Canis lupus familiaris: one gene and its partners. The protein of the gene in region 2 interacts with the protein of the main gene of each other region in a biochemical or structural test. Links are inferred from orthologs where the notes say so. Each region holds a gene or a part of one and is shown on either strand. Other genes may lie near its edges. The genes, in order: CACNA1D, SHANK1 and WWTR1.

Evidence for each region.
Region 1: the proteins of SHANK1 (region 2) and CACNA1D interact in a biophysical measurement, tested with the Homo sapiens proteins (2 studies listed by IntAct, with this or other methods). The link is inferred for Canis lupus familiaris from reciprocal best matches to the Homo sapiens genes SHANK1 and CACNA1D.
Region 3: the proteins of SHANK1 (region 2) and WWTR1 interact in a test that uses a peptide from one of them, tested with the Homo sapiens proteins (2 studies listed by IntAct, with this or other methods). The link is inferred for Canis lupus familiaris from reciprocal best matches to the Homo sapiens genes SHANK1 and WWTR1.

The regions. Positions count from the first base shown.
Region 1 is NC_049241.1:36,772,950-36,776,587, reverse strand, and holds part of CACNA1D (voltage-dependent L-type calcium channel subunit alpha-1D), read left to right. Parts: intron 1-3,378; coding exon 3,379-3,484; intron 3,485-3,638. UniProt on the Homo sapiens protein: Voltage-sensitive calcium channels (VSCC) mediate the entry of calcium ions into excitable cells and are also involved in a variety of calcium-dependent processes, including muscle contraction, hormone or neurotransmitter release, gene expression, cell motility, cell division and cell death.
Region 2 is NC_049222.1:106,749,425-106,753,713, reverse strand, and holds the start of SHANK1 (SH3 and multiple ankyrin repeat domains protein 1), read right to left. Parts: upstream 2,828-4,289; 5' UTR 2,760-2,827; intron 780-2,759; exon of another isoform or gene 669-779; intron 227-668; 5' UTR 184-226; coding exon 1-183. UniProt on the Homo sapiens protein: Seems to be an adapter protein in the postsynaptic density (PSD) of excitatory synapses that interconnects receptors of the postsynaptic membrane including NMDA-type and metabotropic glutamate receptors via complexes with GKAP/PSD-95 and Homer, respectively, and the actin-based cytoskeleton.
Region 3 is NC_049244.1:44,926,495-44,930,851, forward strand, and holds the start of WWTR1 (WW domain-containing transcription regulator protein 1), read right to left. Parts: upstream 2,837-4,357; 5' UTR 2,834-2,836; coding exon 2,403-2,833; intron 1-2,402. UniProt on the Homo sapiens protein: Transcriptional coactivator which acts as a downstream regulatory target in the Hippo signaling pathway that plays a pivotal role in organ size control and tumor suppression by restricting proliferation and promoting apoptosis.

The DNA of each region.
Region 1 (3,638 bases), on a different chromosome or scaffold from region 2:
AGGGAGCAATTTGCTCTTCAATGCTATGACTTCCTGGAATTTCCTTTTGACATGTTCCAAAAAAGCATTTGAAACGTGAGCGTGAGGGAGCGTGTGGAGGGAGAGGCTTGTGTGCGCCTCTTCTTCCTGAGCCCTTGTGAGTTAGAGAGCAGTCTGTCAGTGGGGGAATTTGCAGTTGCTGCCTTTATAAAACATTCTGTCTGTGTCCTTGGACTGGAGTTGCATTTCTGGGTGTCTCCTTTGTATTTTTAAAACTGAACTCCAAATGCCCCAGGATGGTTGTGACGTCCCGGATCTTGGAAAACTAGGGTGCTTGGCCTGCCCACCCCCTTCCCCAATTCTAGAGGCCAAGTCTCCAATTACTGCCACCCTCCAGAAGAGGTTGACTGAGGCCTCCTTTCTGAGCAAATGGCTTTCTAATTAGTCAGATGATTCATTGGTCTGGGTAAAACAAAGCATTTCCTTTTCCCAGAAGTGTATTTGGGACCAACAGGAGCCTTGGAGTAGCTCCTAACCATAGGAAGCAGTGTGAGTGTAGGGCTTCCCCCACAGCGCCCAGGGTGAAAGGGCTAAGAAGGAGGGATATTGACCACCACCTGGAAGGTGAGGCCAAAACTCCCTTATAACCCCAAGGACCCAGCTAGGCAGTTCTTTGCATGCCTTCTGTTGTAGCTGGCTCTTTTCTGAGGTTACGGACACGAATTAAAATGAGGTAACTTTGTCCAGAAAGGTTTTGGAGAGGGCAGCCAAATGCAAGGATAAGGTTTGAGGGGTTTTCATGTGCTTTTCCTTTTGAGAACAGATGCCTCTTCTCTAGGGGGAGTTATGGTGTCTCTCACATAGCTGAGGCTGCGTGGATATATTTTCTCTGTAAGTTTTTTTCCAGTCTGAGAATGAACACTACCATCAGCCTGGAGGCAGCTAGGTGCATAGGATGTGCCTCAGTGGCATCGCTCTGGTCAGAAGCATGGTTGCACTCAGCCAGAAAGATCGCCTCCTCCTGAGGTTGGTTTGACGTGACTCTGAGTGAGCAGAGACCTCTCCGGGGTCATTGACTTCTTGTGGAGTGAGGTGGGAGGCCTGGTGCTGTTTCTCATCGTGCACAGTAATTTGTATATAGCAATGTATGTGCACGGATTGAATTCCTGGATCTTGTTGCCGACTTTTCCAGGCATGGCCAGACACGTATGTATAGGAACGAGGGGATGTGGCTGCCAATCCAGGGAGAAGCCTGCCTACAAATGGGACAGTCTGTAGAGCAGATCTTTTTTTTTTTTTTTTTTTTAGATTTTATTTATTTATTCGTGAGACACACAGAGAGAGGGAGAGGCAGAGACACAGGCAGAGGGAGAAGCAGGCTCCATGCGGGGAGCCCGACGTGGGACTTGATCCCCGTCTCTAGGATCACACCCCAGGCTGAAGGCGGCGCTAAACCCTGAGCCACCGGGGCTGCGCTGTAGAGCAGATCTTTAAACAACATGTGATCTGTTTGTCTTTCCCAGTGACAGTTCCCTTCTAGTTCAGGGAGCATGTTAGAGAAATCCTCCGAAAGCCAGCTGTGCAGGCCCAGTCAGCCCTGGGAGAGTGAGAGCCTCATTGGTTTGTACGCCCAGATGAGGTAGAGTGTCCTGCATCTTGGGAGAATGAGGAGGGTTCACCTTATCAGAAGGAATTTTTAGGAGCAGATCCATCTATTTCTCTGTCTCTCTGTTCCGCTTGGCTTGTGAAAATCTTGTGGCAGTGAGATAGTATCCACCAACACCTGGCAACTGAGACCGGACCAGCACAAAGGAAAAACAAAATTGTGTTTGGTTTTCCTGAATAGCATTGGTATTTTTCAGATTTGCTGGCCTGTCATTTAGTATTGGGAACTACAAAAGGAAGAATGGTGGTATGGGGGATGGGAGAGACCACAGGTGTGTTTCTATGTAGAATAATCCTGGGGCAGTTGGCTTTTAAAATTTCAGTAGGAACTGCAAAAAAGGAAAAGTGAAGAGGATCCTGAAGTCTTCTGCAGGAGAACTGTCTTAAGGTTAGATCTTTGGATAAGAGATTTTATAATACGAGATGAGTTAAAAAATAAATATGAATGAAAGCTAATTGGCTTTAAAAATAAACCCCTCAAAATTAGTAAGAGAAGAATGTCATTCATGTCTTTATTGTGGTGAGTGTCGAAGCTCTTTAAGGGGCTGTTTCTTCATGAGATTCAGGATATCCCCAGTGAGTAAGATGCCTTTGTTTCCTTTAGCATTTTTGGATTTCCGGGAATGATATTCAGGATGAATGGAGAAGGGTCTGTTCACCTCCTCAAAGCTTTAGTACTTGGAGATATTTAGTTAAACCAGTGGTTTTGCCTTTTTTGGGTGAGGTTATGGGAGAAACACGGTTATAAAATTAAGCTCCCCGCCCCCTGCCCCCCAAGTTGCAGATTATGTTGGTGCTCAGAAACCTTGCATTCGGAAAGCCTGAAAGCCAGAAGAAGAAAAACAGTCATTCTGGCAGAAGCCAAATTTTGCATTGCCAGTTTTGACAATGTCTCTTAATAACACTGAATGTTGAAGCAAGTATCTGTTGCAAGCTGGCTTCAAAGTGATTTCTTCCAGACAGACCCCCGAGATTTAGAATTGTTCAATTGTACTTTCAAAGTGTCTGGTGCTGATTTCTTATGGCTTTTTATTTAATTTGTTTATAAATTGAATGCAGTAACAGCTCATTAGAAACCGAGCTCCAGTCCAGCTGTAATCCGAAACAGTGATAGGCATTGATTAGTAAAGGAAGCAGAAGGGGAGCTGGAGCCTGGCTTGCTTGTTACAGTGTCTGAGGTACTGGAACGTGCCACGAGACATGCACAGGTAGCATGCAGAAAGTTCTGGTGCCTTGGCCTGCCCGGGGCCAGACAGGAGACTGACCCAGCCAGGAATAGCCCCCGAGAAAATGGCTTTAACACATGGAGGCAAGGGTTTGTGGAAGAGACTTGTCCCATGAGGGCTCCTGTTTCTGTCGACAACAGCCAGGAACCTAGTGTTCTAAGGCCTTTGTCACTTTTAAAACTTTAAGAAGCAGAGACGCGATTCGTGGGGTGCCCTAGTTGGATGTATGTTTAGGTTTCAATATAACCTGCATAGCAGAGAAAGAGCGTTATGTGATCCTTGCAAGGGAAGGAAGGACATGGAAAAGTCATTCGCTAGGAGGACCTGCCAGATGACCACGGACGATTATATTTGCTGGAGACCTAGTGGTCACAACAGCCGGCCGAGAAAGGACGCGTGGGCCTAATTCTCATTTCCAAAGTGATTCAAGAGTGGTGTGATCGAGAGTGTGATGAGAGAAATGGTTTATGTTTACATAAGACATATATGCCTTAACAAAATTTTTCAGACCATTTGACATATTTATATTATTGGCTATTTTTGCCAATTGTGTGGCCTTAGCTATTTACATCCCATTCCCTGAAGATGATTCTAATTCAACAAATCATAACTTGGTAAGTATCCTTAGAGTTCCCGCCTGTCCTGACGTGTGGTTATCATTTGCCTCTCTACTTAAACTGGCAGCTGGCTTTCTGCGTGGTTGAAGTTTACAGCTATGCATGTGATGTTTCCTGGAGCTTTGCAACAGTGGGTTTGTTTGTGGTTTTT
Region 2 (4,289 bases):
GGAGCGGCCCTGGAGGCCTCGGGTGGAGGCCAGACTACCAGGTGCCCCGCTGCCCTGGCCCCGGGTCCCCCGGGGGCCTCTGCTGGGCCCGTCTGGGGAGCTGTCGGACTCTGAGCCCCCCTCGGGACACTCGCTGGCACTGTGGCGTTCCTCTTCCTCGCTTGACGCGGGGCTGTGGGTCATCGTGGGGCCACGGGGCGACAGGGGACAGCAGCATCACAGGCGGCTGCTGGGGCCAAGGGCAACTGTCAGGTGAGGAGCCCAGGGCTCTTAGAGGCCACAGCCACCCTCCTGGACAAGCAGTCTAGGGCAGCTGCCCCGCGTGCCCCAGGTAGACAGGAAGGAGGCCGGACACACCCCCAGCTACTCCTGCGGCCTCCGCTCACACACGCCCATCGCCACCACGCTTCCAGCAGGTCTCCTTCCTTGCCCTTGGCCCTGCTCGCAGACCCCCACCCGTCCTGCGCCCCACTTTGCCGCTGACCCAGCATGGCAGTGTCCCAGAAACCGCAGAATCACCGCGGGAGCTACTGGCCCACTTTGGCAGGCCACGGAAAATGCAGCTAAAATTAGCTGAGGACAGACAGGTGGACGACCCACCGGCATCCTGCCCTCCTGGCCCCAACCTAGCCCCTCACCCAAGGTCCTCCAGTCCTCCTCTTGGATACCTGGTGGGGGGAGGCTGAAATGTAGTAATGGGGAGACAGAGGTGCCGTGAGCCTGGGATGGCAGAAGTGGGAGGCCGCGTGGTGCCCGGGAGTGGTGCCTGGGAGCGGGTGGAACCAGTGACTTCACTGAAGTGTGGCTGACAACGTGTGCAGAGGACTGCTGGGAATCGGTGTCCCAGGGGAGCGAGGACACTAAGATAGGGGTGTCACAGGGCAGAGCATCATGCATGGGGTGTCCCCAAGGGAACCACAAGAGATGGCCGCTGCAGGCTGTTGGAGGCATCCTGAGAGAGGGGTGTGGGTAGGTGGGGAGACTGACCTGGGAGGGCCCATCCCGTGAGTGGGTGCAGTGGCCTGGGTCAGTGTGGGGTGGTTGTGGATAACCTGTGGGCACATCTGAGGACTGGCACCACAGGACAGGTGGATCAGCATTGCCTGGTACTGGCAGATCCACTCAGAGGGAGACTGGGGGCTGGGAGGGTGGCTAAGAAGTGGGATGATGGTCTGGAGGACTGGGGTGGGAAGTAATCTTCAGGTCCCCCACTATTCTCTCCTGAGGTGGCCTTATAAGCCTGGGTCCCAAATGGGGTCCACCTCCCTCTGCTTCTCCCAGTCTCCCACCCCAGCACCGGAAACCAGAATGTCTGGTCTGGTCCCTCCCCCCCACACCAGGCCCAGCTCCTGCACCGTTGCCATGGAGATGGGAAGCAGTGGAGGGTACTGCTGACTTTGGGGGAGTGGGGATGGGCTGGGGGGGTTGGGGGTTGGGGGAAGACAAAATGAGTGTGGGGGCAGGACAGTTCCAAGAGCTGTGGGTGAGTGAGCAGCTTAACCACGAGCTGGCCCACCCCTCCCCCATGCATGGCCAGGTTGCGAAGCCCCCTCCCCCTCCAGGTACCCAGCAGAGCTGCCCCACCTGGTCCGTGCGGAGGTACCCCCCTCCCTCGGCAGCCTACGGCTCCCCCCACACTCCACATCCCACCTCCGGACCCGGAGTCCGCTGCCACTCCCCCTCGGCTGACCCTGGCTGACCCCAGCCTCAGCCGGGCACTTAATGGGGTGGCCAGGGGGATGAAAGCAAAGCTGGCCCCGGCTCCCCAGCGCGTGCGGCTGCCCCCCACCCCCCAGACCAGCTCCGGCCCCTCCCCCTCAGGCCCGAGGGAGGGAGCGGGCACACTCCGCCGGGGCGGCATGAATCAAACGCTCCGCGGCTAAGAATAGCTGGCACGCAGCTGGTACTGAGACGGGCTGAGGAATCGGCGGGGGGGGGGGGGGGGGTGGAGAAGGGGAGAGAGGGGGTGCCCTGCGAGGCTGCGGGGGGACAGGGGGCGGCTGGTGTGGCCGAGAGCCGGGCCCGGGAGAATGAATGGAGGCGGAGAGAGGCGGGGAAAGGCGGGGAGAGGAGCCGGGGCTGGGGCTGAGAAACTGGTGGGGGAGAGCCCCGGGCCGGGGAGAGGGGGCGGGGGCACCCGGGAGCGGGACTCGGAGGCGGGAGCCGAGGGGGCGCGCCGGCCGGCGGAGAAGGAGAGGAGACGGGTGGGGAAGAAGGGAGGCTCGAAAGAGGGTGGGAGGGGATTGGAGGAGACTAGAAGGAGAGGCAGGAACCAGAGGGGGCCCAAGGGGGCGGAGGAGGCCAAGGCCCAGACCCCCGACGGAGGGGCAGGGAACCACGCTGACCTAGGGGAGGAGCCTCCCGCGGCGGGGCTGCAGAAGGGGTCAAGGGCCCCGGTCGGCCGGGGTGGGCGAGGCGGGGGAGTGGCCGGGCAGGGCCAGGAGGTGGGTACAGCGACCGAGCCCTTGGCCTGGGAGCACGGGGCAGCGGGCTGGGGGCCTTATGGGCGGGGGGATGGGGGGGCGCATCCTCCCCTCAAGTCTGCTATCTGGGACGGGGCACGGGGGACCGGGGCGTAACCCAATTTGGCGTCGCCCGGGGCAACGCTCCCCTCCTCACCCCACCCCCCACCGCACACCCGGGCCGGGAGCCCGGCGCGCGGCCAAGGACGTCCGGGGCGCCCCTGCCCCCTCCCGCGGCCCCGGCCCCGGCCCCGGCCCCGCAACTCCCCGAAACCCCCGGGTTTTCGGCCCCCTTACCTGCCTGGCGGGGCTGCTGAGTCCCGGTCGGCGGCGCCCGCGGCCCCTCCCCCCTCCCCCCACCCCCCACCCCCCCGGAGACGGGGGACCCTCAGGCCATGCCCCACCGCCCCGGAGGGCGAGCGGGCCGGGGAGGGGGCGGGCGGGGGCCGGGGGGGAGGGCGGGGGGGCCGAGGACCTCACCCCCCCCGCGGGCCGGGCCTGGCCATCCGCAGAGCGCCCCCCCTTCTGCCGCGGCCGCCGCGCCCCTCCGGGCTAGCCCGCCCCCGGCTCGGTCCGGCCGGCTCCGGGCGCGGCGTCTCCGCCTGCTCTTCCTCCTCCTCTTCCTCAAGCCGCCGCCGCCGCCGCCGCCGCCGCCCGCTCCGCGCCTCCTCTGCCTCCCTTCTCGCTCTCTCGCTCTCACTGTCTCTCCCTCACCCTGTCTCTCTCTCTCCCTCCCTCTCTCCCTCCCCTCCCTCCGCCCTCTCCCCTCCCTCCGGAGCCAGCAGAGGAGATATCGCCCCTCCCCGCGCCCCCAAACCTCGCCCATCCCCCCAGCCGGCTCCACCCCCTCCCCTGCCTCCCCCCCATCCTCATCGCCACCAGATAACCCAAGGGGGCTCTACCCCTGCTTGCTCCCTACCCGGACCATGGGGCCCCGCCCCCCTAAGGGTACCGCTCCACACACACACACACACACACACACACACACACACACACACCAGGACCGCCCCTTCCCACAGCGCTTCCCAACCCCTCTACACACAGTAGGACACAGTGAATATTTGTTGCTAGACTCTACATTTCCAAACTGGATTGTGAGAGCTATAGATTTCTGTCCCCCCCAACACACACACAAACACACACACACAAACACACACACACACACACACACACACACACATCTTCCCCCAAGGCACAGGTGCTTAGAGTCACTAGCTGGCCCTGCTAGGAACGTGTGCACATTACCCCATATACATACTCTCCAAGGCATGCATGACCTAACATACCTGAGTGTACATCACCACAAACACACCTAGCTACATGTACATATCACACCCGCTGTCCAGGGCAGACACGCAGCACAGCAGTAACCCCCTCACCCAGAGGGGCAAGCACCCAGGTGGGCATGCTCAGATCTCCAGCTCACACGCATGCCAGAAACAGAGGCACGCGACTATAAGGAGACATGTGCATGCAGCCCCATCACACTCACCCACCTCACCATTTCACAGGTGTGTGCACACATCCAGTTAGAGGCACAACATAGTGCCACAGCTCCCCTCCTAGCTGACATTTCTTGAGCACTTCCTGTGTGCCAGGCTCTGCTCTGGATTCACTCATCGACTTTTCACATCAATCCTTTGGGCTGTGGATTTTCACCATCCCCATTTTCCTGAGCAGGAAACTGGGGCACAGAGAAGCCCAAGGTCACCTAGCTATAAAGAGGTGGTACCAAGGATCAGGGACAGGTAGGCTGGCTCAGTCTCTATGCCACTGTTGTTCACTATGAGGCATGCCATAGCTGCATGTCCTCCTTCATTATACACA
Region 3 (4,357 bases), on a different chromosome or scaffold from region 2:
AAGCTTCTACTTAATCGGGGTGCCTTTCAAGGCTATGTCATACAACATTTAACTTACTCCAACTTTAAACAAAGCCCCCCAAAAAAACTCAGGGAACTCCTGGCAGATTGCTTATCTTGAAAGACAATAGTTAACGCTGACTTAATTTCTTAAATTCCCTTAGCTACTTGGCCAGAAAGTTTCCGGGGGCTGCATCAAATCAAGCTAGCCTACTACCTACACAGTTTTTCAGCCGTGGTCTTCACTGACTATCCAAAGTGACTGAAGAGGTGCTCTGCCTTGGGCTGCAGAGTGGTTGTAGCTGGGGGAATGGACAATGAATCTGAGCGACTTTCTCTAAACCCAAAGCTAACTTCCATTTTTTTTAATTTTTTTTTTAATTCATAAGATATATATAGAGAGAGGCAGAGACCCAGGCAGAGGGAGAAGCAGGCTCCACGCAGGAAGCCGGACGTGGGACTCGATCCCAAGTCTCCAGGATCACGCCCTGGGCTGAAGGCAGCGCTAAACCACTGAGCCACCAGGGCTGCCCACTAACTTCCATTTTTGTCCTAGTTTCATCTTTCAAAACTTGTGCATAAAAGGGATTTTTTTTTTTTGCTTTTTTTTTGGGGGGGGGGGTCTTTTTTTCCTAGCTTTCCTTTGATATTAGGCAAGCCTAGCTCTTATTTCGTATTTTTAATAACCACAGTTATACTGATCACATATCATATATTTTCGTGTGTTTGGTCCCAAAGTCATTTGGGACCACCAAAGATCCCCCTAAATTACTGTAAAGTAGACCATTTTGTATTTGCATTCATTACCAAGTCCATCTCTATAAAAGTCACAATTAATATTCAAAACCCCATTTACCTAAGCAAACTTAAGATTATTTTGGAGCTTTATGTACCATAGAAACTAATGTCATCCTTCAGAACAGTATCATCACATTTAGGAAGATGTCATGTTATTCACATACTTGAATTGCACCAGCCATTTAGAAGTCAAAGCACTGAGTACATGTCTACACTAACACTCAAAGCCTGGGAGAAGGCCGGTTGTGGAATGACCATCAATCAAGTCGGCTTCAGGACAAGTGCTTCTCCACATCACACCAATCCCAGAAACAAAATAAAGAACTCCTCCTTGTACAAGATGTCAACAGCTGTGGGATGGGGAAGGAATAACTGGTCACCAGTATGAGTCAAGGACCTGGCTCCAGTAAACCTCATCCATTACTGCGGATTTGTTATTAGAGCCAACCGACAGCGATCAAGGTATCAAGTATTCGTGCCAAAGAATGGCTTGATAATATTTTTAAAAGAGCACATAATGTCTCCGGAGAAATTTTAAACGAAAGCTCTTCTTCATCAAAGAAATATGGGCTTTAAAATCAACTCTAAGGCAAGTGCTAAGAAGAGGAGTTTCCCTCCATGGCAGTGAGCCACCAGCCAGTGCAGGCAACCCTAAACCAAGTGGTCCAGCTGGCACAACTTCCATCTAGGCCATCAACAGCCTGACCCCCGCCCCCTTGACCTCACTGGTCACACTTCAAGTTCCAGCTTGGTTTCTCCTCTGGAACATAATCATCTTAGGGTACCACCATGGAAACAATATCTTTCTTATGTCTGTGAATATAGTTTCCTGTACGGTCTAATTCCAATCTGGCGTAAAAATCATTCCATCAAAAGGCCCTGACAGTGTGGAAGGGAAGAATAACAACACACAGCAGCCTCGGGATCCCAAGGTGTTTTAGGTTACTAAGTGTGACATCATAAAACTCCTGACCCAATTTCCAACACAATTGATTTTCCAGCCGCAACCACTTCACCGGGGCCGAGTCGCTAATTACATCACTGCGCTGTGTGGTCATTACATCACTCAGCTGGGAGCAGTAAGGCCTGCCCGGCGGGCCGGGCCGGGCGGCGGGGCTCACTTTTCCAGCTTGCTTTTCCCCGAGAATGGAGAGAGTGCGGACCACCTACACAGCCGAGAGTCCCTCTGCTTCCCGGGCTTCAGAAGTTTTCTAGAATGTATCTCGGTGTCACCTCCCCATGGAGCAAGCTCTGGTCCATCTGACGGGGGAGGGGCAGGTGAGGGCGTAAGTTCCCCCCCCTCCCCCCCAAGTCTATACCAACTATTCCAGATTCGGGGCAGAGTCGCCTGTGGGTTTCACAAGAATCGCCCCCAAAGCGGTGATTATTTGCACGTCCCCAGTGTCTGGGACTCCCAGGGCCCTGGAAGCGGCTCAGCCGACGCGCTCCGCTGGGTGAGGCTTCCCCACCCCAGCCCCCGGGGGCTCCCGCTCGCGGGTTCCCGGGGCTTTCGCAGACCAGCGTGCAAGGATGCAGGCTCACAGCGACGAGCGTGCGCCCCCCGCCCCCGGCCCCGGCCCCGGCCCCGGCCCCGGGCTGACTTACTTGAGGAAGTACCTCTGGCCGGTGGCCGTGAAGGTCATCTCCCAGCCCGGGGGCAGCGGCAGCTCGTCGGTCACGTCGTAGGACTGCTGGCGGAGGTGCGCGTGCTGCTGCGCGGGGCTGCCCGCGGCCCCCGCGCCCGGGCCCAGCTGCAGGGACGCGGGCGACGAGTGCGAGCGGACGTGCTGGGCGCCGCCGGCCAGCCGGGGCCCCGCGTGGCCGCCCGACGAGTCGGTGCTCGACTGGCGCGAGTGCGAGCCCGAGTCGGGCTCCTTGAAGAAGGACTCGGGCAGGATCTTCTTCCGCCACGAGCTGGGCTTGGGGTTCATGACCGAGTTGAAGAGGGCTTCGAGGTCCGTGTCGAGGTCCTGCGTGACGTGGATCACTTGCTGCCCGGGGGGCGGGAGCGCGGGGGGCACCGAGGCCGGATTCATCTTCTGCGGAGAGACGGGAGGTGCGATGAGGCTTTTAGGACGCGTCGGGGGAGGAGAGGGGCCGGGGTGCGGGTGCGGGTGCGGGGGGGGGGGGGGGGGGGAGCAGAACAGAGACAAAAGAGCTAGAGGACACGGCTCGGTGTCCGCCTCGGGATCCCAGACACCCAGGGGTGAGGCCGGCCGGGTGGGGGAGGGGTCCCTCCCGGCCTGGGGAATTATGCAACTTTCTCGAAGCCTGGAAGTTGCCCGGAGGAGGAGGAGGGGGAGGAGGAGGAGGAGGAGGAAGGGCGGGGGCGGGGGCTGAGCTGCGGAGGTCGCCGCACGGCGGGCGCGGAGGGCAGGGCGCAGCCTTCCCGGGCAGCCCCCCACCCACCCCCACCCGCCCCCGGGTCCCGCCCCGAGCCCGCCCCGCGACCCCTCCTCTCCGGGCGCCCCCGGGCGGGGCGGGGTGCGCGGCCCTACCTGGGCGCGCGGCGGGGCCGAGTCGGGGCGCGCTCGCCGTCGGGCCTCAGGGGCTCGGGCGCCTCCCGGGCTGGCGGGGCTGTGGCCGGGGCCCGGCTGGCAGATCCCGACTCGGGGCCCGGCGTCTCACATGCCCCGCACCGGCCCCGGCGCTCGCGCTGCGCGGCAGGAGGCGGAGGAGACGCAGACAGCGCGGCCGCCGCGGCTCCCGGACTGTCCCATAAACAAAGTTTGGAGCGGACTCCCTCGCCCAGGAGAGAGGCGGGCCCGAAGGCCGAGCTGCTGAATTATGCATGAGCCCCGCGGCCCGAGCCCGCCCGCGCCCGCTCGGCCCTCCCCCTCCCTCCCCCTCCCCCTCCCCCCCCCCTCCCGCCTCCCGGAGGCCCCGGGGCCCCGCAGGTACTGGGCCGGGCCGGAGCCGCCGGGCGCCCGGGGCGCTGCTCCGGGGGGCGCGCGCCTCTCCGCGGGGGCCGGGCCCGCAGTCCCTGCGTCCACCGCCACCGCCGACCGCGGGCGGGATCCGGGGACAGGGGCCTGCGCCCGTGCGATCAGGGCTTCGGACGGAAACTGAGGCCGGGGGGCGGCGGGGGGCGGAGGGCGCGCGAGCCGGGGGCGCAGGCCGGGGCAGGCCGGGCGCCGGGGTCGAGGCCTGGGGCGCCCGGAGCGCCCCGCTGAGCCGACGGCCGGGCCTGCCGCGGGGGCGCCAGGCGAGCCTTTCCACGGGGAGGCTGCTCGGCGCTTGTGACCATATTTGGTCTGGCGAGGAGGCATCTTGGCTGTCGGGCTCGCGGTTGTCTGCCGGGGCGCAGACGGTGCCCAGAAAGTGCCCCCGTCCCCGTGGCTGCGGCCTCGCCGGCAGGAGCCTGGGAAACAACCTCGAAACCGTTCATCAATCCTTAGTCTCCTCTACGCGGGACTCGGGTCACTAGAAATGGAGAAGAAACCTGGCCGGAGCCGGGTCCGGGAAAGGGACAGCAGTCGCGTCCCCCACCCCCACCCCCACCCCCCGGCCCCCGCGACATCCGCGCGGGTGGTGGGAGGATCGGAATGTCCCTGACGCCC